3 linked regions of the Xenopus tropicalis genome follow. Each later gene encodes a partner of the first gene's protein in a complex. Links are inferred from orthologs where the notes say so. Each region holds a gene or a part of one and is shown in the gene's direction. Other genes may lie near its edges. The genes, in order: tubgcp5, tubgcp2 and nme7.

What was found.
Region 2: tubgcp5 (region 1) and tubgcp2 share a complex: the UniProt entries of both Homo sapiens proteins name them as parts of the gamma-tubulin ring complex. The link is inferred for Xenopus tropicalis from reciprocal best matches to the Homo sapiens genes TUBGCP5 and TUBGCP2.
Region 3: tubgcp5 (region 1) and nme7 share a complex: the UniProt entries of both Homo sapiens proteins name them as parts of the gamma-tubulin ring complex. The link is inferred for Xenopus tropicalis from reciprocal best matches to the Homo sapiens genes TUBGCP5 and NME7.

What each region holds. Positions count from the first base shown.
Region 1 is NC_030678.2:114,836,744-114,845,753, reverse strand, and holds the start of tubgcp5 (gamma-tubulin complex component 5), read left to right. Parts: upstream 1-3,615; 5' UTR 3,616-3,720; coding exon 3,721-3,854; intron 3,855-4,939; coding exon 4,940-4,993; intron 4,994-5,090; coding exon 5,091-5,199; intron 5,200-6,180; coding exon 6,181-6,277; intron 6,278-6,605; coding exon 6,606-6,685; intron 6,686-7,219; coding exon 7,220-7,352; intron 7,353-7,559; coding exon 7,560-7,677; intron 7,678-8,553; coding exon 8,554-8,643; intron 8,644-9,010. UniProt on the Homo sapiens protein: Component of the gamma-tubulin ring complex (gTuRC) which mediates microtubule nucleation.
Region 2 is NC_030683.2:56,278,361-56,286,685, reverse strand, and holds part of tubgcp2 (gamma-tubulin complex component 2), read left to right. Parts: intron 1-3,569; exon of another isoform or gene 3,570-3,724; intron 3,725-4,325; 5' UTR 4,326-4,335; coding exon 4,336-4,485; intron 4,486-8,325. UniProt on the Homo sapiens protein: Component of the gamma-tubulin ring complex (gTuRC) which mediates microtubule nucleation.
Region 3 is NC_030678.2:55,286,798-55,295,122, reverse strand, and holds part of nme7 (nucleoside diphosphate kinase 7), read left to right. Parts: intron 1-433; coding exon 434-484; intron 485-5,498; coding exon 5,499-5,706; intron 5,707-6,926; coding exon 6,927-7,032; intron 7,033-8,325. UniProt on the Homo sapiens protein: Possesses an intrinsic kinase activity. Displays 3'-5' exonuclease activity with a preference for single-stranded DNA. Does not seem to have nucleoside diphosphate kinase activity.

The sequences.
Region 1 (9,010 bases):
AGTGTGCCAGAAGCTGGTATCCCAGGAGGGGAGAGACAGCAGGGCCGAGTGAGTAGCCCGAGTGTTCATGAGTGTGAGAGTCACCGTGGATGTGTGATAAAGTATGAGAGTTACCCTGGAAGGTGAGAGCCCAAAGAATGGATGAGTCATGAATAGGTTTGATTAACTGTTTGCTGTCAACTGTAATGTTTATGTTAGGAGGATTTGCCCAAATACTGTAAACCTGTGTTTTTGCCTGAAGAAGTGGCGTCCCTGTCTCTTTGCTTCTGATCCTCTGCATACCTGCCTACCATAGCTAATTTCCCCCAACAGCATGTCACAATACATATGGAGCAGCATTAAAGGGGCAGTTTATAATAATTACAATTATTATTAGGCTATTGACAATTATATTTTGAGAAAATTTGAAAGAGGCCTTCATTTTTTAATCTGTGTCGTTTTCATTTATTTGCCTCACTATGACAACCAGATTAATCCTAAGGTTAGATAAATTGTAAGTGTAAGTTTTTATATTTTTTACAACTTAAACATTTCAAAACTTAAAATAATGGAGAAAAGACCAAGTTGAACTCATGACCATATACTTGTATTTATTTTCAGTTATCTAGCATCAAATGTAGCACTCGGAAAAAAACAAAAGTATTTGATCTAGCATGACTAGATTTACTTAGTTGTGAGTCATAAAGGATGGGTTTTTTCATTCTTTCGAAGAATTTTAGACAGTGCCTTAAGGAGGAAATTTCTACATCTGGAAGTATAAATAGTTGCCTGCCGAGACGCATCTTTCTAATAAAGTTCAGAATGAAAATTATTTAACATTTTTATTATTTGCATTGTTTGAATATTTTTGAGATGAAAAGATATAGAATCAAAATATGAAACAATGGGGCATTAAAATAAGAAAGAAAGTGGAAATAGGTATGTAACCCCTATTTGGCTATATAAGGCCAAGATCCAGCTATGGGTAGAGCATGGGGTACATGGGACTCCCCTTTCCCAGGATGGGCCTTCACAAAGTGGAAGTAACTTTAATTGAGGGTGTTGTGTAACTCCTACGGCCAAATGTAAGCACAGAGTTTAAATAAAGAAGTAAATGGACACCAGAAGCTCTTGCAAACGGATTTATTTGGCAGAAATAACAGATGTGATTTGCAGGGTTCAGATAATATACTCTCAGCCAATGAGGTGATAAAGCAAGGCAGACTCAATAGATAATAAGGGTAGAACAGTACTGCACCACTGTGGAGAGCATAGGGAAAACAGACTTTCATCCTTAGGATGCCCACCTTATTGGACCAGATCCCAAACAGCCGACGGTGGTTCAGGGAAAAAAGGACTAGCCTGATTCCTGTGTCTTAACTGCGGTCCCTACAATAAGGCTGCAGAGCCTGTAAAGGAGACTAATCCTCTAGATGGAGCCAGAAACTGCTCTTACTAAACAAATCTGACTCACATTCCTAAACGTGCTATAACAGGAGATATCCAATCCTTGCTATGCCATGTTCATGGGGTTCCTGCTACCTGACTTCTCTAAGGGTGATGGTTCCCTTCCTTAGGCTAATGCCACACATAGCGTGTATGTATCATATTTTCAGAAAGCCTAAAACCGCTTGCAGAGAATACGCTACATATGCTTAAAAATCCTCCTACCTGTGCCTGCAACCGAATGCATTGAATATGCTCAGGGGCAGGCACATGTAGCTGATATTCGCCAAAAAAAGCAAGACTTCACATTTTCGGTGGATATCAACTACATGTGCCTATACCCGAGCGTATTCAATGCATTTGGGTACAGACACAGGTAGGAGGATTTTTAAGCATATGTAGCGTGTTCTTGGCTTGCTGAAAATATGATGCATACGCTACGTGTGGCATTAGCCTTAGGGCCTAACACTTCTGGGCTGGTGTGGATCCCAGGCTTCCTGGAGCATCCACACAGATCAAAGTTGCAGGCCAAGAAGGAAGAACCACCCCTTTCCAAACACTATATCAAAGTGTGGTAAGCTGTGGTCTAACTTATGGGCCAATAATAGAGGTATATGTAAATACCAAATAGATACACAAATCCTTGCCCAGTAACAAGGAGATAAGTAAGTGTAGGGTTTAAAGCCATAGGGGCACATTACCCCTATAGGTGCCTACAGGTAAAAGTTGCATATATAAAATCAAGTCCAACTCTCTGTAGTTCCTGCATAGATGAGGGTCAGCATCTCTAATAGGATTGTTTCTGGCCACACTGGGCCCTTTATAAAGTCTAATTCTGGGCAGTGTAATATGTTAAATAATAAGGGAGAGAGAAAGGAGAAGTACGAAAAGGGAGGCTGAGAAAGGAAGGTGGGAGGGGTAGGAATACTGTATATATAGTACAGTACACACATAAAAGGGTGCACCATATATATATGATAACAGAACAACCTGTGTGTATACCACAATTTAAATATGCTGGAACAACCTAGCAATTATAGGCAGCATTCCGTCTTAATACATTAAAATGCCTTTATTGTTACAATGTGATGCTGCTGCCCGCATTGTGACAATAAAGGCATTTTAATGAATTAAGACGGAGTACTGCCTATAATTGCTTGGATGCGACCATCGGTCACACCAAACATCGTCAGATCCGCCACACACCATTCAGGGCTGAATCGGCAGGTAAGGAGGTAGAAACAATAGGATTTCTACCTCCTTCTGCCGATTCAGCGCTGAAGGGAGATTTTGGTCAGGCGCCTTCTATGGCTTCCTGCGATATTGGTCGACTCGGCGACATACCATACACGCACCGAATATCGTACGAAACCGATATTATCGGTGCGTGTATGGCCACCTTAAGGGCTGTGTCAGACAGGGAGATTAGTCGCCATGCAACAATTCTCCCTTGTCGAGGGCCACTAATCTCCCCGTTATGCCATCCCACCGGTTAGAATGTAAATCGCTGGTGGGATAGCATACGCTGCGCCGCTATTTGCCAAAATCGCCTTGAGAAGAAACTTCAGTGATTTCGGTGCCGCGTATGCCATCCCTCCAACAACTTACATTCTAGCTGGTGGGATGGCATATTGGAGAGATCAGTCTCCCACAGCAAGGGAGATTTGTTGCACAGCAACTGATCTCCCTGTCTGTCACAGCCCTAAAGCAACAGGACTTTGTGTTTTCTTGAAAACTTTCCACCTCCCATTTGAGCGGCGTCTTCAGTTCATATACAGAGATACTATATATCATGAATGAACATCATCAGAGACATTTGCTTTGTGTGTTTTAATTAGCTTTGCTAGTGACCGTTTCCAGATTGCAGCAGAAAATGTTGTGGTCAGAGAAGAATTATCTCACCAACCAAAAGTGGTGGTGCTCACTCGTTGCTAGATTAACCTCTAGCAAGCAACCTGAAAACAAAAAAAAAATGGACAAAACAAAAACAATAAAACATAAGAACTCTCTTAGAATTCTTCTGTCTACATCATACTAAAAGTTATCTGTAAGGTGAGAAGCCCGACTCCCGCATTACTAGGCACAGATAAAACACGCACCCTAACACAACTCTCGCCCTAATTATAAATGGCGACTGAACACTTCCGCTTCCTTTTACCTTTGCCTGATACAAGAGACTGCCCCACGTATTTCTCGAACTTAGCTTTGATTGGTCATGCGGAACTGTTGTACAGCCGAGGGGCGGGATGAAATGACGGTTGAGTTGACAGAGTGGTTCTATAACCAGCGGGGCTTATGGCACATTGGACCCGTTTCGAGAGGGATCAAGAGCGCGATATAAAAACGCTTGTGTCCGTGGTGAGCGGCATTCAGGATGAGCAGGACAATAACTTCCAGCAGGCCTTGCAGTTCGCCTGGTCCAACTTCAGGTGCGATTCGAATGAGCATTGTTCTGCTTAGCGTTGTGCAGCTTTGCTCTCCTATGGCAACTCTCTGATAAGGAACCTGGCTGACCTGTGTTCTCAATAGGCTACTGTGTATGTGTGATCATCACCACATCAGTATGTAGTATGTTAAATAAACAGAGTACTGCACTAGATTATAAATGGCCGGATACACACACTCTGCTTGATGGGGGTGCTATGTAAAACACCAGATCTCAATAGCATTTAGGGGCTTGAAGTTTGCCAACTGATCATATAAAATGCAATGCCAGTTTGGAAGCTGATAACTGAGTAGATGTAAATATTAATTTATAAATAATGCAGAAATTTGTAGGTGGTACATTGGTATATTGTTGCTTGGCTGATAATGACAATGGCAACACTTAGTGCTCACTGGTCCCCCATGTAAAAAAAAATAGTTGCAACCCATTTTTACTTACATATCTGTGAGTTAATAAATCCAATGAAATAGAATGCAGGCAAGAAAAAGTTTGCAAGGGAGATTGGGGTCTCTACTGGGCTCCTCCACGGTTGTGGGGCCTATTGATAGTTACGCCACTGGTGTGAGAAAAATGTTTTTTTTCTGCTCAGTCTAAACCTGATCAGTTTTTTTTAAAATAATCTTGATTCATCACAATTTATTTATATAGCACCACTAAGTTATACATCCCCTCTGCGGCAAATTAGAGAGGCTTCAGAGGGGTTTTTTGCCTTCCTCTGGATCAACTAGTAGTTAGGCAGGTTATATATATAGGCATTATGGTTGAACTTGATGGACGTATGTCTTTTTTCAACCCAACTTACTATGTTACTAATTTGTAATACATTAACAAAAGAGTTACAGAGTAAAACAGCAGCATAAAAGGGGCCCTTCTCACAACCCATTGGTTTAATTGTGTAGCCCTCGTAATTTATGGTAAGTCTCCTGTATAATATAATATTATAGCAAAGCCCTACATATCATTTTGGTGTTCTGATGAAGATCAGTTTACATCTGTCCATGTAGATCATTCATAATCTATATTTCATCCCAACCTTCTGCACTTTAATAGTAAAATGTTTCTTTCCAGATTTCACCGGTACCTTGATGTTAGCAGCCACAAAGTCCTCAGAACATTGGAAGGGTACTTTTATTATGTTTGTACTATTTGCTAAAAAAACAAAAAACAATACTTTTTTTGTTTCAAAACAATGTCCAACTATTTTCTCATTTACCTTTAGAATATTTGAAAAGCTGGTAATTCATTCAGACCTAGAGAAAGCTGAAAGCTGGAAAAGACTGACAGAAGAGTTCCTTTCTTTGCCTCTTCCAAGCACTGAAGGAACCAAGGTGCATTATTTTGTTTGTCTGACTCTGGGGACATGGTGGGATTTTTCTAGTGGTTTGAAAGACTACAATTAAAGTGATCTGTGTGCACTATCTAGCTCTGTATTTCCTTCTGTAAGGTATAGGGCTACACACTGTGCCACCTCAGGATGTAGATTATAGGTGTTCTTGTGCACCCTGGTGCATTTGGTTGTGTCTCCAGCCCTACCTCCATCCTTAAAATAAGGAGCTTTAGAAATTGCTGCATGGAAGCCCCTTGGGGAAACATACACTTCCCAAGCAGTTTATAACTTCAAACCAAAGTTCCAAAAGTACTGTTAATTTGTAGATATTGACTTGCCGTGGAAAAAATAGAATTGCATGGATAGTTAAAGGTATTGTATATCCATTGTTGAATGTCTATTCTAACTTTTTAAGTGCCTACTTGATTCACACTTTTGTTCCAGATTATCCTTATTACTTTCTTGTGGTGTTTAAATCATGTGGGGAAGTTGTATAGGGACCCTTTGGTGTGAGGGCTTACCTGCACAAACATTAGCAGAGATCATGTAGGTACTTAAATAATAATGCAAGCCTCCAGTTATACGTTAATTATAGGACCTCTTCTTGCAGATCACCTTCGCCCATTTCCAACATTTAAGCCTATACTTTATACATTTCACGTTACCAAAGTCTCGCTCTAGCCAGATGTATCAAGTGAAACAATCCCATGCTACATAGGAGTGTATTTCATGCAGGCCTTAAGTCTCATTTTGCATAAGAAGGAACTATAAAAATTTCACTACTCATGAGCAGCATGACAGTCCTAAAACAAAGATTGCTTTTGCATAGAAAGATTTCCTGTGTGAACATTGCAGACCTTTTTGACTTTTGCATTCCTTTTATGGGGTCTGTAACACCCCAGGTAATATATGGATTTGAAGGAAAAAGATCTAATTGGTAATGTTTGACTGAGAATCTGAATCTCTTTTTTTTCCCCCACAGACAGATTCACATTTTGCTGTACTGTCTCTCTTGCTTTGTCTGTCTGACTCTCCTTCCAACCATGATTACATTGAAAAACCAAGGAAGAAGGAAACTGGTAATCGATGTTAACAAACTAAAATAATGCTAGGATAAAACTTAGTAATTAAATATGTATTACAACTATGTAAAATGCTTCCTTGCTATACTGCCCCAACCTTTTGGTGCCATCTTTGCTTAGAAAACAAAGGAAACAAACTGTGTTGTCAAATGCACAAAGACCATATAAATTATTTCATTACAACAAAACCTTCTTTGCAATGGTAATTTTAATGCTGCAAGTAGACATTATATCAAGGAAGCATTGTGTTTAATTGGTAATTTGTAAACCTGTGTGTTGTTTATGTTCATTTTTATGCCAACGGCATTCTAATGCTTTATTTTAGATGAAGAGGAACCATTTGACTGGGGTAAATACCTAAGGGAAGGGGAAGATCTAGAAGTCAGCCCTGATGTAGCAACTCCTGTAAGTATTGCATATTTGTTTGTATTATTAGATAAAGAATTAAGATGTATGCATTAAATAATGAGGCCATGGCACCACAACTGTTTGTCCTTTAAATGGTGTCTTTACAGCACTTCTATATATTTATGAAAGGAATGTAAATGACCCAAAACGTTGTATGCTTATTTTTACTCCTGCAAAATAATATAGGTGGCGATATTGTAATACTTCTATTAATAGTTATGTAAGGGAAGTCTTATAACTTGTCTGTAGCTGTGTTACCATTCACATACACAAATTTGTATGTGCTCCAAGTTCTAGAGGGGGGCATGCTGACCAGGCTAACAGCAGCCATCTACAACAAAAGAGTGTCCTTTGCTTGAGAAATATGGGTGCTGCCCAAAAGAAAACAAAACTTTTATTGTTAGTGATTTTTTCTGGCTTTTTAGAAAAAAGGGGTACATTTCTCTTTGTCATTTCCTTTAAGCATCCCACTGTGCCATTTTTTTTTGTTTGCTTGACAACCTTATTTTAAAGCATTCATGTCATTTTCAGGAGTGGTCTGAAGCTAGTGAAGAAGAGGATGATCAAGAGCCTCTTAGCAGGGAAGACTCAGGAATTCAGGTTGATAGAACCCCACTGGAGGATCCTGAAAAGAAAGGTGCTTCTCCTTTGGTATCATGGAAAGGTCTGTGCATCTTTTCCACCCACCCCTTCCCGGCATTTCATGACATAAATTGCCTGTTTAAAATCTTTGTGTTTTTGCTCTAAATAGGGTAGCTTTTTGATGCCTGCGGTTCTTGATATCTTGCAGATCTACAGCTGCTCACATTTTAGTTAAAGGTAAAGGCTTTCTTTTAATGCAGCTAATAATTCTCATAAATGTTTTATGCAGTTGGCGAGCCAGATGCACGAAGTTGGCTAGAGCAGCATATTGTGCATCAGTACTGGACAGCCAGAGTTTCCCGATTTTCTCATAGCTCCCATCTTCATTCGAATCTGTCAGCCATCTGGTAAGTAACCCTCTAGTTAAGCTGGTGTGACCACAGCAGGAATTTCATTAGTCCAAGTCACTAATATATACAAGTTATTTAAAAGTGTTTTTAATGTTAGTGTCCCTTTAAGGCAGTGGTTCATGAGCAACATGTTGCTCAACAAGCCCTTGGATGTTGCTCCCAGTGGCCTCAAATCGGGTGCTTATTTTTGAATTTCTGGCTTGGAGGCAAGTTTTGGTTGCATAAAACCCAGTGTAAAGCCAAACAGAGCCTTCTATAGGCTGCCAGTCCACATGGGGGCTACCAAATTGTCAATTATAGCTCTTATTTGGCCCCTCAGGAACTTTTTCCATGCTTGTGTTGCTCCCCAACACTTTTTCCATTTGAATGTGGCTCATGGGTATAAAAAGTTGGGGTTCCCTACTCTAAGATCTAAACATATTAGAGGTTTAAGATTTGTTTACGCTTTAAATTTTTTTTGTCCTGCTCAAATTGTGCTGTTAAAACACCTCAAATTGTCTTCCCTAAACGTTGCTAGGAATGAAGTGAAAAATATAGCATGGATGACTTCCATGCACCATATAAAGGCTTGGTTTTGCACTGCCTGTGTTTGAATGCACAATTAACCTCAGGCTTATGCCCTTGGATACAATGTTACATGATTGTTTGCTTTTTAAACTTCAGTACGATTCTTGTCTAAAAAATTTTCTCTGCCAGTAGTTTTAAACAATTCCAGTGACATCAATGGGACAATGTTACGGAAATGAAAAGATAAAGTGATACTATCTGAGTTGCAATGCTTTCTGCTAATATGACTTTTTGTATGTTTATTAATTTCATAATACTCTTAGTTCTACTGAATTTCTAATGACTGCAAACAACTTTATGTTTTAGGGATCAGCATTTGTATACCACAGATCCACTGTATACACCTGATGATAAAACTATTGTTACTGAAACCCAGGTTATTCGTGAGACTCTTTGGTAAGTAGAAAGCTGCACAGTCCATTTATGTTATGAGGTGAACTGTCAGTAATTAGTTTATATATTGTTATTCTTAGTATCATATTTAGTTATGCAAAGTAAATTTCAAATTTTCTGTATACAGCATGTATATATGATTTGAAGGCATTCAGTACAGAAATTATCTAGGAAGGTCAAAGGTAGCTCATAGCATTTCTGGAAGAAAATCGGTATGTTAAGTTTGTATATGTCTCATATTGTAGGGCTACGTTGCCAACATATATCTGTGTTCTTGGACATCCAATGGGGACCACTTAGCTGGTGTAAAGTACTCAGCAGGAGGGCAAGAACACTGTAAAAATAGATACTTCATCCCCGCTGCTTCTCA
Region 2 (8,325 bases), on another chromosome or scaffold:
GAAAACTCTGCTTATACTCGAGTATATACGGTATATATAATAGGGAGAGAGAACAGAACAGTGTGGAGCACACTGTCACCAAAATAACATCCCTGGGTGCAGGGTCAAAAAATAGACATATAGAAAAAGAGTTTTGGAAGTAGTAGTCAGCACAACACCTTGTATTTAATTTGTAGCTTGATAAAAGGCCACGCATGGCCTGAAACGTTGCTGTTGTTTGCCCCTGAAATTTGCAATAAAGGCATTTTAATTTAAAAGATAAGAGGTGCTGTTCCGGATCGTTTGTATATAGAAAAAGAGTACCGCACGCTCAGGGACTCAATTTCGAGTACAAACAGTACTTTTCTTCAGGGACGAAACCAAATATATATGTAATAACAGCGCAATATTTTCTATCTGTTCCCAAACCCAGCACTATACTTTTCTCCCCAGCCCATGGTCTCTAATAACAATTTATTTGCTAGAAGGCTAAGGTTTAACTCTTTCTGTATGGTCGGGTCTCCTCTCATGGTCTGTGTTATTTACCACTAGGTTTGAAACCAGTTATTTTCATTGCCCGAGGAATTAAATATTCATAAAATAAATATTAATAATATTGATATATAGTTTTTTTGCCGACAGCGGACAGAATAAGTAAAAGTGTTTTGGCCCCGCTGGTCATTCTTGTAGCAGTATTTGGGTTCACTCCTCATATTGCTCACTGTGGTGGCAGGGGTACATAGTTAACCAGGTACCTGGTTGCATAGTTTTTAACCTGCAGCAAGAAACGTTTCATAAGTGGGCAGTTCCACAGACAATGCATTAAGTCAGCTGGGGCTCCTTGAAATTTGGGGCAATGTTCATCCTGTCTCATTTGGGCTTTAAACAAGGTTAATGGGGTTAGGTAAATCCTATGAAATCGATTTAACAGCAATTTCCCTGTATATGCTGGATGGTAAAGTATACCATATTTGTTTATATGCTGTCAGCATTAGCTTTATTTCCATTCTGTCTAGGTTCGCTGTCCATTGTCTTGGTTGTTTTGTTAGTTTGTCATAGTCTATGTTTTCCAGTAAGAACTTATAGTTAAGAGAGATGTCTCCTCTCTCGCTGCTAGGGTTCCTGAGAATGTTGTCAAGAGTGTTGTTCCAGTATTTTTCTGCTGGTATATATCTGTGCTTGCCAGAAGGTAAAAAAATTTCTGGCAATCAAATTAGCACTTGTTCTGGAATATCCCATGGTGCAGTTGTTCTATCACCTCCCTAAAGTACATTAAGGGTTTAATTCCACCTAAAGGATGTCCAATTGTCTCTGGTATGAATTCTCTTAATGAGAAACTATCAGAGCTAATTGATCTGTACTTACAACCCCTTGTATTAAGACTTAAATCATATTTGAAAGATACAACATGTGATACAGCTATTAGAGGATTTTAAGTGGAGATCTGATTATATCTATAACATATCATTTAGATAAATATAGTGACTACTCAATTGCTATTAAATATTTTATTTTGGAAGCAATAGACTATCTATTACATCACAACTTTTTTCAATTTGATGGTGTCTATTACCTTCAGAGATGTGGGATCTCAGTCGGTGCATAATTCGCACCCACATAAGCCAACCTCTACATGGGTTGGTGGGAGGAGAACCACCTATGAAGGTAGTGACACCAACACAAAGGCTATTGTTGTCTACAAACGTTATATAGACAACTTTATATTTGTATGGAAAGGTGAAGGGTCTACAATAGTAGACCCTTCACCTTTCCATACAAATATTTATAAATTTTAAATTTAGATCATTGTGATTTAAACTTTCTAAAAAGCAGGTAATAACCTGCTTTTTAGAAAGTTTAAAGGAGAATGCAAGTCAAAATTTAAAAAGCATACTGCCCAATAGTCCTCCCATTGTTTAGTACAAACGCCACACTTTTGGCTCACCTAACCAGATATTTACTCAGTCACACTTACTTCACATTTTCTAGAACAGGCAGCCATCTCTAAAAAGGTATTCTCCCTTCCTTTTTCTCCTTGCTTCATACTGCACATGTGTTTCATTCCCTCCCCCCTCCCCTCTGCCAGATCCGCTTCTGATTGGCTGGTGGGCATGTGTAGCTCAGAACAGGAGATAGGATCAAGTTACACACATGCTCAGAGAATAGGAAGGCCGCCGCTGGCAGCCTACAGGAAGGGAAGAGAGATTTCAGTGATGTCACTGTAGTCTTCACACTGCTGTAGGCTGCCAGCACCATATCTCAGAGAAGCAAGCAGGGATCTGGGAATTTAGATATGCAGTAAGTACTTAAAAAGAATGCCTTTAGACTTACTTTTAATTTATATTAACCTTTCATTGTCCTTTAAATCACAATGATCTAAATTTAAATTTCACAGGTCACTGGAATGAGACTAGTATCGCCTTTTTGGATATAACACAGTCACATTTAGATTTAAAAATGGTTACCACTGTTTTTAAGAAAGAATGCACAGGGAATGCAGGTATTGCAGGTATACAGAGGTATTACAGGCAGCTTCTTGTCATCCAAAGAATGCATTTAGAGGCATCCCTACTGGACAGTTCTGTAGATTGAAACGTAACTGTAGTTCAGAATCTGATTTTATAGATAGAGCACGTGGATTAAAAGGTAAATTAATGGCGAGAGGTTACTCCAAGAATGATCTAGACAGCGCTTTCAATAAAGCATTAAATAGGAACAGAGAGGATTTGCTTAAAAATAAAAAAAAAAGAATAAAATTGCATTTATGTTTACTCCATACAGTAATCAATTCAGTCAAATATATTAAGAAACATCTCCCTATTCTATATAATGATCCTAAACTACGACATGTCCTAGGAGAGAGATGCAAATTTGTTAGCAAAAGAGCACCCACATCACCAAGTGAATCTAAACGTGATAGAGTAAGAGGCAATTGGCTACAAGTGAAAGGGATGTATCGATGTGGGTCCTCACGTTGTATCACTTGCTCTAAAGTATTTGTATCAAAATGTTTCACAAGTACAAGCACAGGAAAAAACTATAAGATAAACAGCTACATTGTAACACCGCAGCTTCAGTGTATCTACTAACTTGTATGAACTTTAACATTCAATATGTAGGATGCACAACCAGGCCTTCAAAAAATCCCATAAGAGAACATATAAACCAGATTGCCTCTAAAAGTGAATTAACAGCAGTGGCAAGACACTTTAAACTCTGTAATGGAGGATAGGTATTTATGTTACGAGTTCAAGGTATTGATAGTGCTATCATAAATAACAGAGGAGGTGATATTGTAAAGAAATTACTAAATCTTGAAGCTAAGTGGATTTTTTTTACTTAACACATAGGAACTACAAGGACTTAATGTTAGATGGGATTTGAGCTGTCATAAATAACCTGTTTCTCCCCATCTCTTTTCTTCTCTTTTCTTCTATTTGATCACCTGTTAATGTAAACTTATCCTAAATGAACCATTCATTGATTTGAATTTGACTAATCTAATATTTGATGTACTTAATGGATGTTTGTATTTTCGCATTACTTTATTACTGGTATATTTATATTGGTTTTAATTTTAATTCTATAAGGAAATTACATCACTGCACAGAGGACCCTAGGACCACACAGTCTCTGCATTAGGAAGTGAGGCTGCTGGGTGGGCTGCTGCAGCAGGAACCTCTTACAGCAGACACGAGTGTGAAAAGCCGCCGCAGAGGGAAACCCTTTTCTGCCAAGAACATAGGTACTATGTGCTTGGCAAATAACTATTTTTTAAAATAACGTAGTACCTACATGCTTGGCAGGGAACGGGTTAATGCAAAGTATAGTTTCACTGTGACATTTGCTTAAAATAACAGATAACGCCTTTGCGACTGCAATCTGCCAAAACTTGCCTGTCATACATAATTTTTATATTTTCCTCATACAACTGTATTTTGGAAAATACACTGATGAATTAACAGCACAATGAAATGTAATATTAGCATGCAGGGTATGATGTAGATAATGAGATAAATAAATTGCTGATGTTGTAGCATATTTTTTTGGCAAAATGTTGTTAATTTTGATATTTGAACTTAAGTAAATATTTGCTTGTGTACGATTCATATAAAAGTAGATGACTATAAATACTGTGATAATATCCTTTTAATTGTCTTTATGTGACTAAACTATAGTATTTTAAAGAAAATAAATAATAATTTAAGTATGGACCCTTAATCATTACTAAATTGGCTTCTGCTGTACAGTAAGAATAATAAGTAGACTGGTTTAAAACTTTTTGTGCTGTTTGACTATTTTTATGAAGTTTTTATATATGTGCATGTTCAATCTGTCTTTCCTAGATCATTCACTATGAGTGAATTTCGGATTCACCATGATGTAAATGAGCTCATCAGCCTTCTGCATGTCTTTGGATTAGAAGGGGCGGAAGTTTACATTGATCTTCTGCAGAAAAATCGTACTCCCTATGTCACTACCAGTGTTTCTACTCATAGTGCCAAAGTAAGACAATTTTTTTGCATTTCTTACTGGGTAAGTCTTTGGGTGGTCACCTTATGCAAAGGTGAAGGGCACTGGAAAGACAAGGTTTCCAAAGGTGCAACCCTAAGCCTGCATCATGCCTCCACCCCAAGCCCAGCATGTCAGCTTGTTCTAGAGCAGTGCTGTCCAACTGGCGGCCCGCGACCCCCCTCTGTGTGGCCCCCCACCTGTCTGGCTGCTTTGATGGCTTACTCTTGTGTAAGATTTAAATGGTATCAGTACTGTGAGTAACTGCCCCCCCTGCATGGTTCTCACCTCAGATTCAGGCTGTAAACCCTCTGTATTGTTTAAAAATGTAATCCCCTGTGTTGTTCACACCTTTTAATCCCTGCATTGTTTACCCCCTGCAGTGTTCACACCTCAGTCTCAGGCTGTAATCACCCACATTGTTCCCCTGTTCACACCTCAGTCAGACTGTAAATAGAGCAGTAGAAACCCATAAATAATCCCTGCACACTACAAAAAGAACATATACTGAGGTGGTACTGCAATTAAAACGTTTTTTAATATATAGTTATTGTGCAGACTGTAGGAGCAGTGCCAGCATTGTGTCACTGTATGCTGCCTGTGTGTGCCATATACACAGGCAGCATAGGGCAGGCAGAGTATGGTACACACAGGCAGGGTAGAGCAAGCAGAATATGGCACACACAGGCAGGGTAGGGCAAGCAGAGTATGGCACACACAGGCCAAGTATGGCACAAACCAGCCAAGAATCGCACACACAGTCAAAGTATGGCACACACAGACAGGGTATGGCAGGTTTTTGCTGTACTACAACCATTAATATGGGTATGGTTATGTGATAACACGGGTGTGGTTTCAAAAAGGGGAGTGGTCAAAACTGGCTTCCATTATCGGCCCTCCATCACGTAGGTCGGAAAAATTCCGGCCCTCGGTACCACCCAAGTTGGACAGCTCTGTTCTAGAGCACTTGAATCTCAACATGTGAGAGATTAAAACAGTCCCATGTTCCCAGTTTGAATGAACAAGCAAGTGCAGATGCTGCCTTTTGTCTGGGCCTTTGTGGCCTCTCTATAATTCCAGGCCTAGGACTTTAAGTTAAAGGGAATGTAAACCCTGCTGCACTGACTGCTCAACCAAACTTTACTCAGTTGTTTTTGGACTACAAATCCTAGAATAATGTAACATGTAATGAATGTTGAGGCATGGTGGGAGCTGTAGTCCAGGAACACCAGGGTTGTATTGTTAAAGTAATACTGCACAATAAAACATTTCCAAAACTTTTCCCTTAATCTATACAGCCAGCAACTGCTGTGAAAAATCCTCCTGTAATTAGAATTGAAAGCATTAAGCACAGTTTCCCAGTACTGAACAAGTCTGTCCTTTCTCCCCATGTCTGATTCCGGTGTCCTATAATGAGGAAAAAAATGAGATAATTATCTGTATATGTGTATATGTCGGGCAAGATAACAGCCCAACATAGTGCTGGGAATCGGCATTCTCATTTGGGGATTCTGTTGCATTTACAATGAAGTTTTTTGATCAGTAGAATTCTCATTTGTGAATCTATATTGCATCTATAATTAGTTTTCCAGCGACTTCTGGGAACTTTACCCTCAAATGCATTATATACAGGTCCTGACACCTGATCCCCACTTTCCCTTCCAAAAAGCAGGTTACCTAAAGCCTGAAGTATTTTACTGGTCAAAATTAGCTCAGAATTTGCTTTGCTGTTAAAAACAGGGTGCACTATTAATTACTAATAATTAGTTTGTTTTCAGGATTTGATCTGCTTGCAGACATCCTTTCTTGTTACATTTTATCACCAGTGAATACAATTCAAGGTTTTGGGAAATGTTCTCCAATTTATAATTTTTGGCTAGCATTTTTTCCTAAAAGGCAGGTTGGGAAAATCATTTATTTTCACATTTTCTCAGTTGTGAAAAAATGTTTTCACATTTTTATTCAAATTTTCTTTATCTATTAGAATTAAGTCTAAAACAGCTGGAATTTTCTGAGCTTTTTCTTGAAAACGTTTCACCACTCATCCGAGTGGCTTCTTCAGTTCAAATGACTGGTAGGTAATTTCCCGGCATTTAAACCCTTGAGGGTAGTACAGTCACAGGCATCCAATCATAATGGTTCCATGCTGGCATAAATAGCCTCTTACACACCTCTTTCAAACGATCTGTCCTCTCAGTCCAAAATATGCATGTTACTACCCTCAAGGGTTTAAATCCCAGGGAATTCCCTACCAGTCATTTAAACTGAAGAAGCCACTTGGATGAGTGGTGAAACATTTTTAGGAAAAAATTCGTAAAAAGTCCAATTGTTTTAGACTTAATTCTACTAGATACTGTATATCATAACCTTCATGAATGAGAATCTTCATAGTCAAATTTCCTAGGTGCAGGGATTTACCATAAATTTGCATTGTGATAAATTTCCCACAATATGAAAAATGTTTGGAGCAGACATTGAAGTTGCAATCTGTAAGTTACAGCTTGGACAAATGTTAGTGCAGTATTTTGTAGCCTTTGTGGAATCTTGAATAAATATGCAAAATTGGCTTTTTTTTTTTTAAATTAGATTTTATTTAATATATGTTTAGCCTTTTAAAGGAGAAGGAAAGGCTAAGTCACTTGGGGGTGCCAAAATGTTAGGCACCCCCAAGTGATTTAATCGCTTACCTTGTACTACAGGCTGGTGCCCCTGTTTGGAGAAAACTGCACCAGCCCGGGGTACCTGCAGGGTGCGCTTCCTCCTTCAGCATTTAATCTGCGGCGCAATTCCTGGGCTGGCGCATGCGCATTAGAGTGAAAAGCCGACTTTGTTAAAGGTCGGCTTTTCACTCTAATGCATATGTGCAAGTGCGCCAACACGGAAGAAGGAAGCGCTCGCAGCTTCCCTGGGCTGATGCGGTTCTCTCTTAACAGGGGCACCGGCCTGGGGTACAAGGTAAGCAATTTAAGTCACTTGGGGGTGCCTAACATTTTGGCACCCCCAAGTGACTTAGCCTTTCCTTCTCCTTTAAAAGGCTAAACATATATTAAATAAAATCTAATTTAAAAAAAGAAAAAAGCCAATTTCAATATTTATTCATGATTTCACAAAGGCTGCACTAATAATAGTGACAGCCTTTCCTTCTCCTTTAATTGCTATTTTCTCAATATTAAATAGGTTATTGTTAGTGACAAAATCTGTCATGTTTCTCTTCGAAAAAATTTGGAAACTGCTGACAAATTTGCTTAAAGTGATACTGACACTAAAACTACTCTTCAAAATATTAATGTACATTAAAAGTTACCTATAAGTCAAGTTGATCGTTTTTTGCTGATAGGGCTGCTTTTGAAAGTAATCATTATTGAAGTTCCTGAACCTGACTGTTTTGCCAACCTGACTGTCCCTTCCCAACCTGTCAGTTATAGCTTTGAATGCTAACAACCTACTGCTGCATAAATATGGCAGCTCCCTCATAGAGGGGACCTTGGGGATCAGATAGGTAATATACAATTATTGGGCAAATACTTTTTTCTCTGGTAATTCTTTTTTTTTTGCGGAAAATTTTTGCCGCAGTTTCGCGAAAATATTTGCCAATTACAAAATGGGGAATTGCGAATCCATGGTAAAAAAATTAGTTCATCACTAGTTATTGTGTTGGAGGTAAGTTCATTGATTGAGGCCAGGTGAACCTGACAAAGGGGCATGCCCCAAAACATTGTGTTAATAATAATAAACCACAGGAGAACATCCCCAAGCAAGTGTTTCCGTGTGTTGGTCCTGTTTGTGCATGGACATTGTGGAGGGTGCCGTTCTCTCCCAGTACTACAGCACTGG
Region 3 (8,325 bases), about 60 Mb from region 1:
ATATTAGCTGCCTAGAACTGGAAATGGGCTGAAAGAAACTGTCATAAGTTAAAGTACACAATACAGAGGGTAAGGCTGGACAAAGTGAATAAATTGTGTGTGTGTGTTTATACATATATATAAATAAAAATACCTCACACTGTCCGCACTCCCTTTAATTGTCCAAGATTCAAAGATAACGGCGTGGATAACGTACGTACGTACGTACGTACGTACGTACGTACGTACGTACGTACTTACATACACACAGTTTCTTTTCTTTACTTTGCTGATTTCACTTAAACTAGCTTAGATGTGTTATTTGGCCATGGGTGCCAAATCTTACTCATTCATCTGTATAGTGTATCCCCTAATGTAAAATATAAGACAAAATTTGCCAGGGGTAAAGAGGAAAAGAAATGCAGCTGTAACATCTCTTTATTCTTTTTTACAGAACTGAAGCAATGGACTTTTATAATGAACATCATTCAAAATCATTTTTTAGGTATGGTTTTAAAGTTGATCTACAGAAGGTAAAGTGGGATTAAAATTCAGTTGCGGTACACTGTGGACAATTTTGTCACCATATTTGACATATAAAGTCCCATTTACGACTGTGAGTGCAGTGTGCAATTTTTAGCTGCAATTTGCCATTTTTTTACCCACAACTTCAATGTCATTGTGGCTTGTCTTAAAGGAACAGTAACACCAAAAAATGAAAGTGTATAAAAGTAACTAAAATATAATGTGCTGCTGCCCTGCACTGGTAAAAGTTGTGTGTTTACTTCAGAAAGTCTACTATAATTTTATATAAATAAGGTGCTATATAGCCATGGGGGCAGCCATTCAAAGGAGAAAAGGCACAGGCACATAGCAGATAACAGATAAAACACTATTGTATTCTACAGAGCTTATCTGTTATCTGCTATGTAACCTGTGCCTTTCTCCTTTTTTCCAGCTTGAATGGCTGCCCCCGTGGCTACACAGCAGCTTATTATATAAATTATAGTAGTGTTACTGTAGCAAACACACCAGTTTTACCAGTGCAGGGCAACAGTACATTATATTTTTATTACTTTAAAGCTCTTTTATTTTTTAGTGTTACTGTTCCTTTAACCACAGTAGTATCTGATACAACAAAATTGAAGCAAGTGCAAAATTTCATTGTGGGGATTGCATTATTCAAATGGCATTACTGTGTCTTTTGCAAGTGTCTCTACATTTGTTGCACCTATTGACGCAGCCTGCTATGGGAACCTTGGAATAACTCAGGCTGTAGCTCAAGTTCCTTTTGTAAATATGCACACCTGTGAACAACCTGCTTATGGAAAAATATATATGCTTTGACATAGTTTTAGAGATTCTCTTTTATTATTAGGGAAGATTAAGGTATCCTAACTGGATGTTCATGTCCCTGTTTTGTTTGGATTTTTTTTATTTTGTTTACACCCCCTGGTGTTAGTCCACTTGCCTTTGCTCACTTAACCATGTGTCCTAGTGCCTATTTATAAGGCAATTATCATACAACCTGAGCATTCTCAAATTTGCAGTTTATCACATGCTTTCCCCTTCAACTGTACCCTTACACTTACTCTGGCCCACAGCTAATCCAACTTTGGCACACTATTTCAACTTGCTGCCTTTAAAGGGCATGTAAAACCCACACACAAAAATGTAATCAGTGAACAGCCTCTGAAATCTTTCAATACCTGCCACTCTGGTTGTCCAGAGGTTAATAGGAAGGCTGCAACATACCCTTAATCACTTAGATTTCCTTCTCCTCCTGAAACCCACTTGGGCCCCCTCCCATCAGGAATTTGCTTTGGCTATTGGCTTGTGGGCATGCTCAGTTGTTCTAAACTCAGATTACTAAACACATCCTTCAGACTAGCAGCCAGTGAAGAGATGGCATTGCTGGTTTCCATATAAACTCAGCTCTAGCTGTCTGCTTCTCTTTTTTTCTCCTAACCTCCTCTCCTGAGCTCAGCTGAATGCTGAATAAGGGTATGTGTGTGTATGCTGTTTGCAGATATAAATGTATCTGATTATGCATCAGAGGAAAAATGGCCACCGTGTGAAAGCTGCTATTTGCTTTAGGAAAATGTGATGGTGATGGAGGGGGATATATGCAGTACAAATAATGCCATTATGGTGGGGGTGACATGCCCAACTGATATACCTTGTAGGCAAATGTAGGCTTTACATGCCTTTAAAGATGCCTCCAGATCAGCCAAAAACAGTTGAGAAGGTCATGGACAGGCCCTCACTTGCTCCAATTGAGATTCATGCCTGTACTGCTACCAAAGAAGTTCTACTCACTAAACAACCTCTGTAATCCTAATTTCCACCCACCTTCTAATCCTTTACTGGCTTCATATAACACCACACCCACCACTAGTACCACAAATACAAAACAGATAACATTGGCCTCAGCATTCCATTACACAAGAAATTCTATATACCTACAGTATATCAGCACAGATATATCACTTTTCATTCATTTTCTGCTGATATATAATGTCAACACTCCTGAATTCAACCCCTATTCCAGTATTTTAAATCCTCATACACAAGTACTAATTTCTTTTATTCTCGGAAATCCTTTGTTGTTATTGTTTCCATCTTAACCTCTAGTTACCTTTTAGCCATTACTCAATTTTGCCTACAACATTGTGTACATTGCCAGGTCCAAATGTTAGGCAATGAGAAGGCATTTTTGGGAGATTTGTTGTCCGCAGTTGCAAAGATTTACTGCAGGCGACAAAACTTCTTATCTGCCAGGGTGCTTATGGGGAAAGAAACACAAAGAAACAACACATTTGGAGAGAAGGAAAAGTCAGTCTACATAATAAGGTTTCTTCCCACAGTGACTTTGACAGTGGGAGGAAGTTGCTGTAAGAGATCCTACTCAATGGTGATGTGATGCTTTTCGTAAGCAAAGATTTTTTAATGTTTTTGGTTTTTTTTTTTAAATAAACACAAAGACAGAAGAAGCCAAAATTCAAGTTGCCTTGGGTTAAACATATGTAAATATTATGTCTTCAATGTTAAAGCCAGTGCCTCACAGGGCAGATCCCACCCCTGCATTTAAAGAAGCTTATTGATGGGCCTGCACCTGGAGCCATTGTGCCTGGGTACAGTACACAGTGCAGACACAACCATAAGCTTTATTGAGTGCAAGGGAGGATTCTCAGCCTGCGTTTATCCACAGGCCAAGAATCCGCCCCATGTGGCATTGGCCTAAAAACAGAGAAGGTGGTTTCTGGAATGTACAAAATCTCTTCTGCATGGGCAACCAAACACCCCAAACTACCTTTTTATTAAAGACTATATAAATGTCTGCCTGCTTCTTGTCAGTCTATTCTCATAATCACTGAAAAAACCCAATCTGTGATTGCCTTAACAATTACTTGGAAAAAAAATTATAAAGGAAATAATCTACAATTTCGCAGCGAGGATAGCTGCATATGTTAACTATATAGGGTATAGTATGCTAAAAGCAAATATTAGTTTTAATGTTCTTTCAGCAAAGTAAATATCTGTATATCAAATAATCTAGAGTAACATAGTTTGTTTAACATGATAAACATAATCAAATATGGCCAGCTTGGATTTTTTTTATCTAGGATAAAGAACTAAAAATACACATATACACACATGTGCACACTTTTTTTTTTTTTTTTTTTTTTTTTTTTTTTTTTTTTTTTTTTAACCTTAAAAGCTGTCTGGGCTAGATTCTTGTTAGGAAGCTGGAATGGTTTAACTTAGTGCTGTGACATTTTAGTTGTTATATTAATCTGTTAAAGCTATTTGGGTGTGTCAGATACTAATTGGGTAAATCTCTTATCTGCTGGCTTAATCACAATTTTGTTGTTGCACTCCAAGTCCTTAAAGACAAAGGGGCCTATTTACTATACTGTGTAAAATTATTTACACCAGAAATTATTGAAAAGTGGTTTATTATTGTATGGTATAATATTTAAAGAGATCCTGATACCAGAAATGAAACCTTTTTTACATCTATCATAACATTGTCTTTGCATGCTATTTATAATTTTGCCATAAAAGTATTTGTCCGATGCTTTTACATTACCTCTCTGATCCCTCATGTTCCCCTATAAGGGGGCTGCCATATTTGTGCAGCAGGAGGCCGTTAGCATTAGAAGCTATAACTGACAGGTTGAGAAAGGACAGTCAGGTTGGCAAAACAGTCAGGTTTAGGAATTTCAAGTAACAATTACTTACAAAAACAGCCCTATTAGCAAGAAACGATCAACATGATCTATAGGTAACTTTTCATGTAGGTTCATAATTTAAAAAGTAGATACTATGGGAAATTGTATTTGGAGCTTTCTAGATAATGGGTTACTGGATAAAAGATCCCATGACCTGGACAATATTTTTTAGCACCACAAACACACCTCCATATACTGACTGTTATTTGCACTCTCAAACTAACTAGTGTGTAACTAGTACAGGTATAGAACCCGTTATCCAGAATGCTTGGGGCCGAGGGTATTCCGGATAAGGGGTCTTTCCGTAATTTGGAGCTCCATACCTTAAGTCTACTAAAAAATCAATAAAACATTAATTAAACCCAATAAGATTGTTTTGCCTCCAATAAGGATTATTTATATCTTAGTTGGGATCAATTACAAGGTACTGTTTTATTACTACAGAGAAAAAGGAAATCGGTTTTAAAATTCTGAATTATTTGATTAAAATGTAGTCTATGGGAGATGGGCTTTCCATAATTCGGAGCTCTCTGGATAAGGGGTTTCCGGATAAGGGATCCCATACCTGTACAAGCAATGTACAGAAAGACTGGGATAACCAGGGTAACTTTACACAGAGATAAAAAATGATAAACAGGTATTTAGTTATTTTTAAAATCCTTTTTTGGGCTAACTATTCTCCTTCTCCTTATGCTTTTTCTTGTCATTTACGGAAGAAAACATATCAATTTCTGGCAAATTTTAAATATTAAAGTTATATATAAAAGTTATAGAAAAATATAAAGTTATGTAATGATGTGATGACTTTAGTGTCTCATTCCCTTTCTACTCCCAAACCCCTTTAGTCAAGTATTAAAATACCATTTGGGGTCATGGCCTGATGGTTACAGGTAGTGATGAGCTAAGTTTTTTACCACAAATGGATTTGCAGGGAAATTCCGCATTTTGCCATTGGCAATTTTTTTTTTTGCCAAATGGCAGCAAAATATTGCAGTCGTATAAAAAAAAAAGTTGCAGTTGCGGAAAAAAGGTTGCGTTTTGCGAAATTTAAGGGTAAGTTTCGCTAATTTTTCATCTGGACAGATTAGCTCATCACTAGTTACAGGTACATAGAAACACCCCAAAATGTCCTACATTTGTTCATATTCTATAGAAATTAGAGATCCCATAAAATTATCTTTAGAAAAAGCATTGTTCTGTGCTGTTAAGCAAAATGTGAAATGTTATACTTTCAATACACCTTTTGATTTTATGTCCAAGTAAACCATTTCATATGTTTTTCAGTGATCTTATTAGTTTTATGACAAGTGGGCCCATTGTAGCAATGGAGGTAGTTGGAGATGAAGCTGTCTCTTCATGGAGAAAATTATTAGGACCAACAAATTCCAGCATTGCAAGGAGTGAACTTCCTCAGAGCATAAGAGCAAGGTTTGGAACTGATGGCACCAAGAATGCAGCTCATGGTTCAGATTCCATTGCTTCAGCTGCTCGTGTAAGTATAGAAGATCTATACTTTCTAGTAAAAATGGAAATGTTTTGTCAGTCCTGATTTCTTTAGTCAACTCTATATTATATGAATTTTAGTAAGTAATATAGCTGTTTCTGAAAAGAGTAAGTGAAGGAATACATTACCTTCTAATTAATTTATTTAATAGCAGGTCAAAAATAAAATGCAAATAATCATACTGAAACATACTGTGATCTTATTCTTATCAGCCAGGCATAATTTGAATACAGTGGAGTGCAGCCAGACCTGGGGGACCTGTGCCCCTTAGTGCTCAAGCACTTCTTTCCTGGGTAGAATAAATAACTCCTTTAGTGTCTATGCAGTAAGTATAGTATGATAAGAAAACATTTGTCTAAGATCATCGGGTTTCTCTGTCAAAATCAATAGACTATTGATGTTCCTCTACTTTTTAGTCAGCTGGCTGGTTATTTAAAAGAACTGTGTTTAACTCCCTAATACTGCACACATTCTTTAAAAGCTTATTTCTTTCTGCCTGACCTCAGCACTGATTGGCCCTGTTAAAACATATCTGCATAAATCCTTGGCAATCGTTTTGAAGTCCCTTTTTGGTATTTTCAATTAAATCTGCTAACTCATTGTAAATCAAATGAATCACAACCCCAGACAGAATATAGCAAGTAAGAACTTACTGGAACTGACCTAATTTTAGTGCTGGTTCACTCTGGGAACATGGAAAACTGGGTTTTAATACAGATTATGCAGATTGAGTCTGATCTGTTGGAGGGTTTAATATTGTTATAGAATGCTTGTGGTTTATAAACAATAGAGTTTTGTTTTCATCTTTTCACGTAGCCTAACTTGAATGAGAGTTCTGGCACACCATCTCAGACAAAAAAACTGGTATGGTAACCTGGCACAAACTAGATGTTTTGTACCTAGCTTTAGAATTTGCACAGCCTTTTTATTTCTCTGCATGGCTTATCTGTGTTGTAGTTCCATATACTAGCAAGGATATATATATATACAGATATTTGGCCATGGATAGACTCGCTTTTACATTTGTAGCTATTGCTTCTGGAACTCCTAATATCACTAGTAGATTGATACTGTGAGTTTAACTGTACTGCAGCTCTTGCTGTCCCTTTGCCAAGTTTTTATTTTACAAATGTTTTTTTTCTTGTAACAGGAATGCTAGCCTTCAAATTCTTAACAAAAGTTAATTTTTTTTTGTTAAATGTTACTAGGAATTGGAATTTTTCTTTCCATCAAGTGGAGGACGTGCTCCAAAAAATACTGCAAAGTTTACAGACTGTACTTGCTGTATTATTAAGCCCCATGCCATTTCTGAAGGTGAGTATAACACTATGCTATTGTTTACATATCAAAGGATGACACAAAACAGTGAAAATTTCACAGCAGGATATGTAAAAGGAATATCAAAGTTGTAGGAACAGACATAGGCACATCCGCAGGACTTTCCTTTCCTTTGAAAAAGTGCATGTATTGTGCCTTTTTTTTTTTGGAAAATGGCACAATAAACGCACTTCTGCAAGGTATGTCCTGCTGTTGAGCCTATCTCTGTTCCTACAACTTTGATATTCAGCATTTCCCCTTTTTGGTGGTTAGGGAAAGGAACTACACTTTTGGCTCTCAAGGTGGCTGTAAGTAAGGCTGGAGATATTTTGGTTCATTTGATGTTAACCCTTTCACTGCCAGCCGTTTTGAACAAAGTGGAACTTCTACTGCCAGACAGTTTTTGAACATTTTGCACTGTTTCACTTTAGGGGCCTTTCCTTGGGGGAACTTTTAGTTTACCCAGGAAAACAATATATTGTTTTTTTCAGGACAACCTAAGCTTTTAAAATATGGTAGAATTTTTGTGTAATTCCAATTTTGTAACAAGATATAGGCTTCTAAATGTCTAAAAAATGAAAAAAAATTATATTTTCCATAATATAAACACACATACCAGAAACAAAAATTATTTTATGCATGAAAATACACCTGATTTGGAAAGTCCCATGTCTCCTGAACGTGCCAATACCAAATATATATAGTTTTATGGAGATTTCTCACATGTATAGGTCAAAAACTCCCAGCAGTACACTACCAAATTTCCAAAGCACTGCTCCAGAAAGCTGCACACTTTAGATTTTAAGGCCAAAAATTCCGCTAACAGAAAGTTTATCCCAGAAAATTTTACATTTTTAGAAAGAAGAGATTCTGGGGAATCCAGAATAGGCACAACTGTCTGTCTACTCCAAACTATCAAGTCTCAATACTTTCCTAAAATTATTGGTTTTTATCAAAATTTGTGAAATTTTTTTAAAATCGCTTCAAAGCTTCCAGTCTATAGTATCTTAACTCCTAAAGGTCATAAAGTAACCAAATAAAACACCCTAAATATGAATGCCAGGGGTCCACTGAACAGTTTGATGCCCAATATGTATAGGTTTAGCCAAGTATGTGGCATGTAGGGGCCCCAATGTGAACATACACCCACATGTACTGTCATTTCTGTCATTTCAGCTTCTGCAAAATCAACATTTACATCATTACATGTGGGATAATGCTAGTAAAAAGTACATTCACCCCAGAAAGCCATATATTTTTGGAAAGTACACATTCCCCCGAATCTAAAAT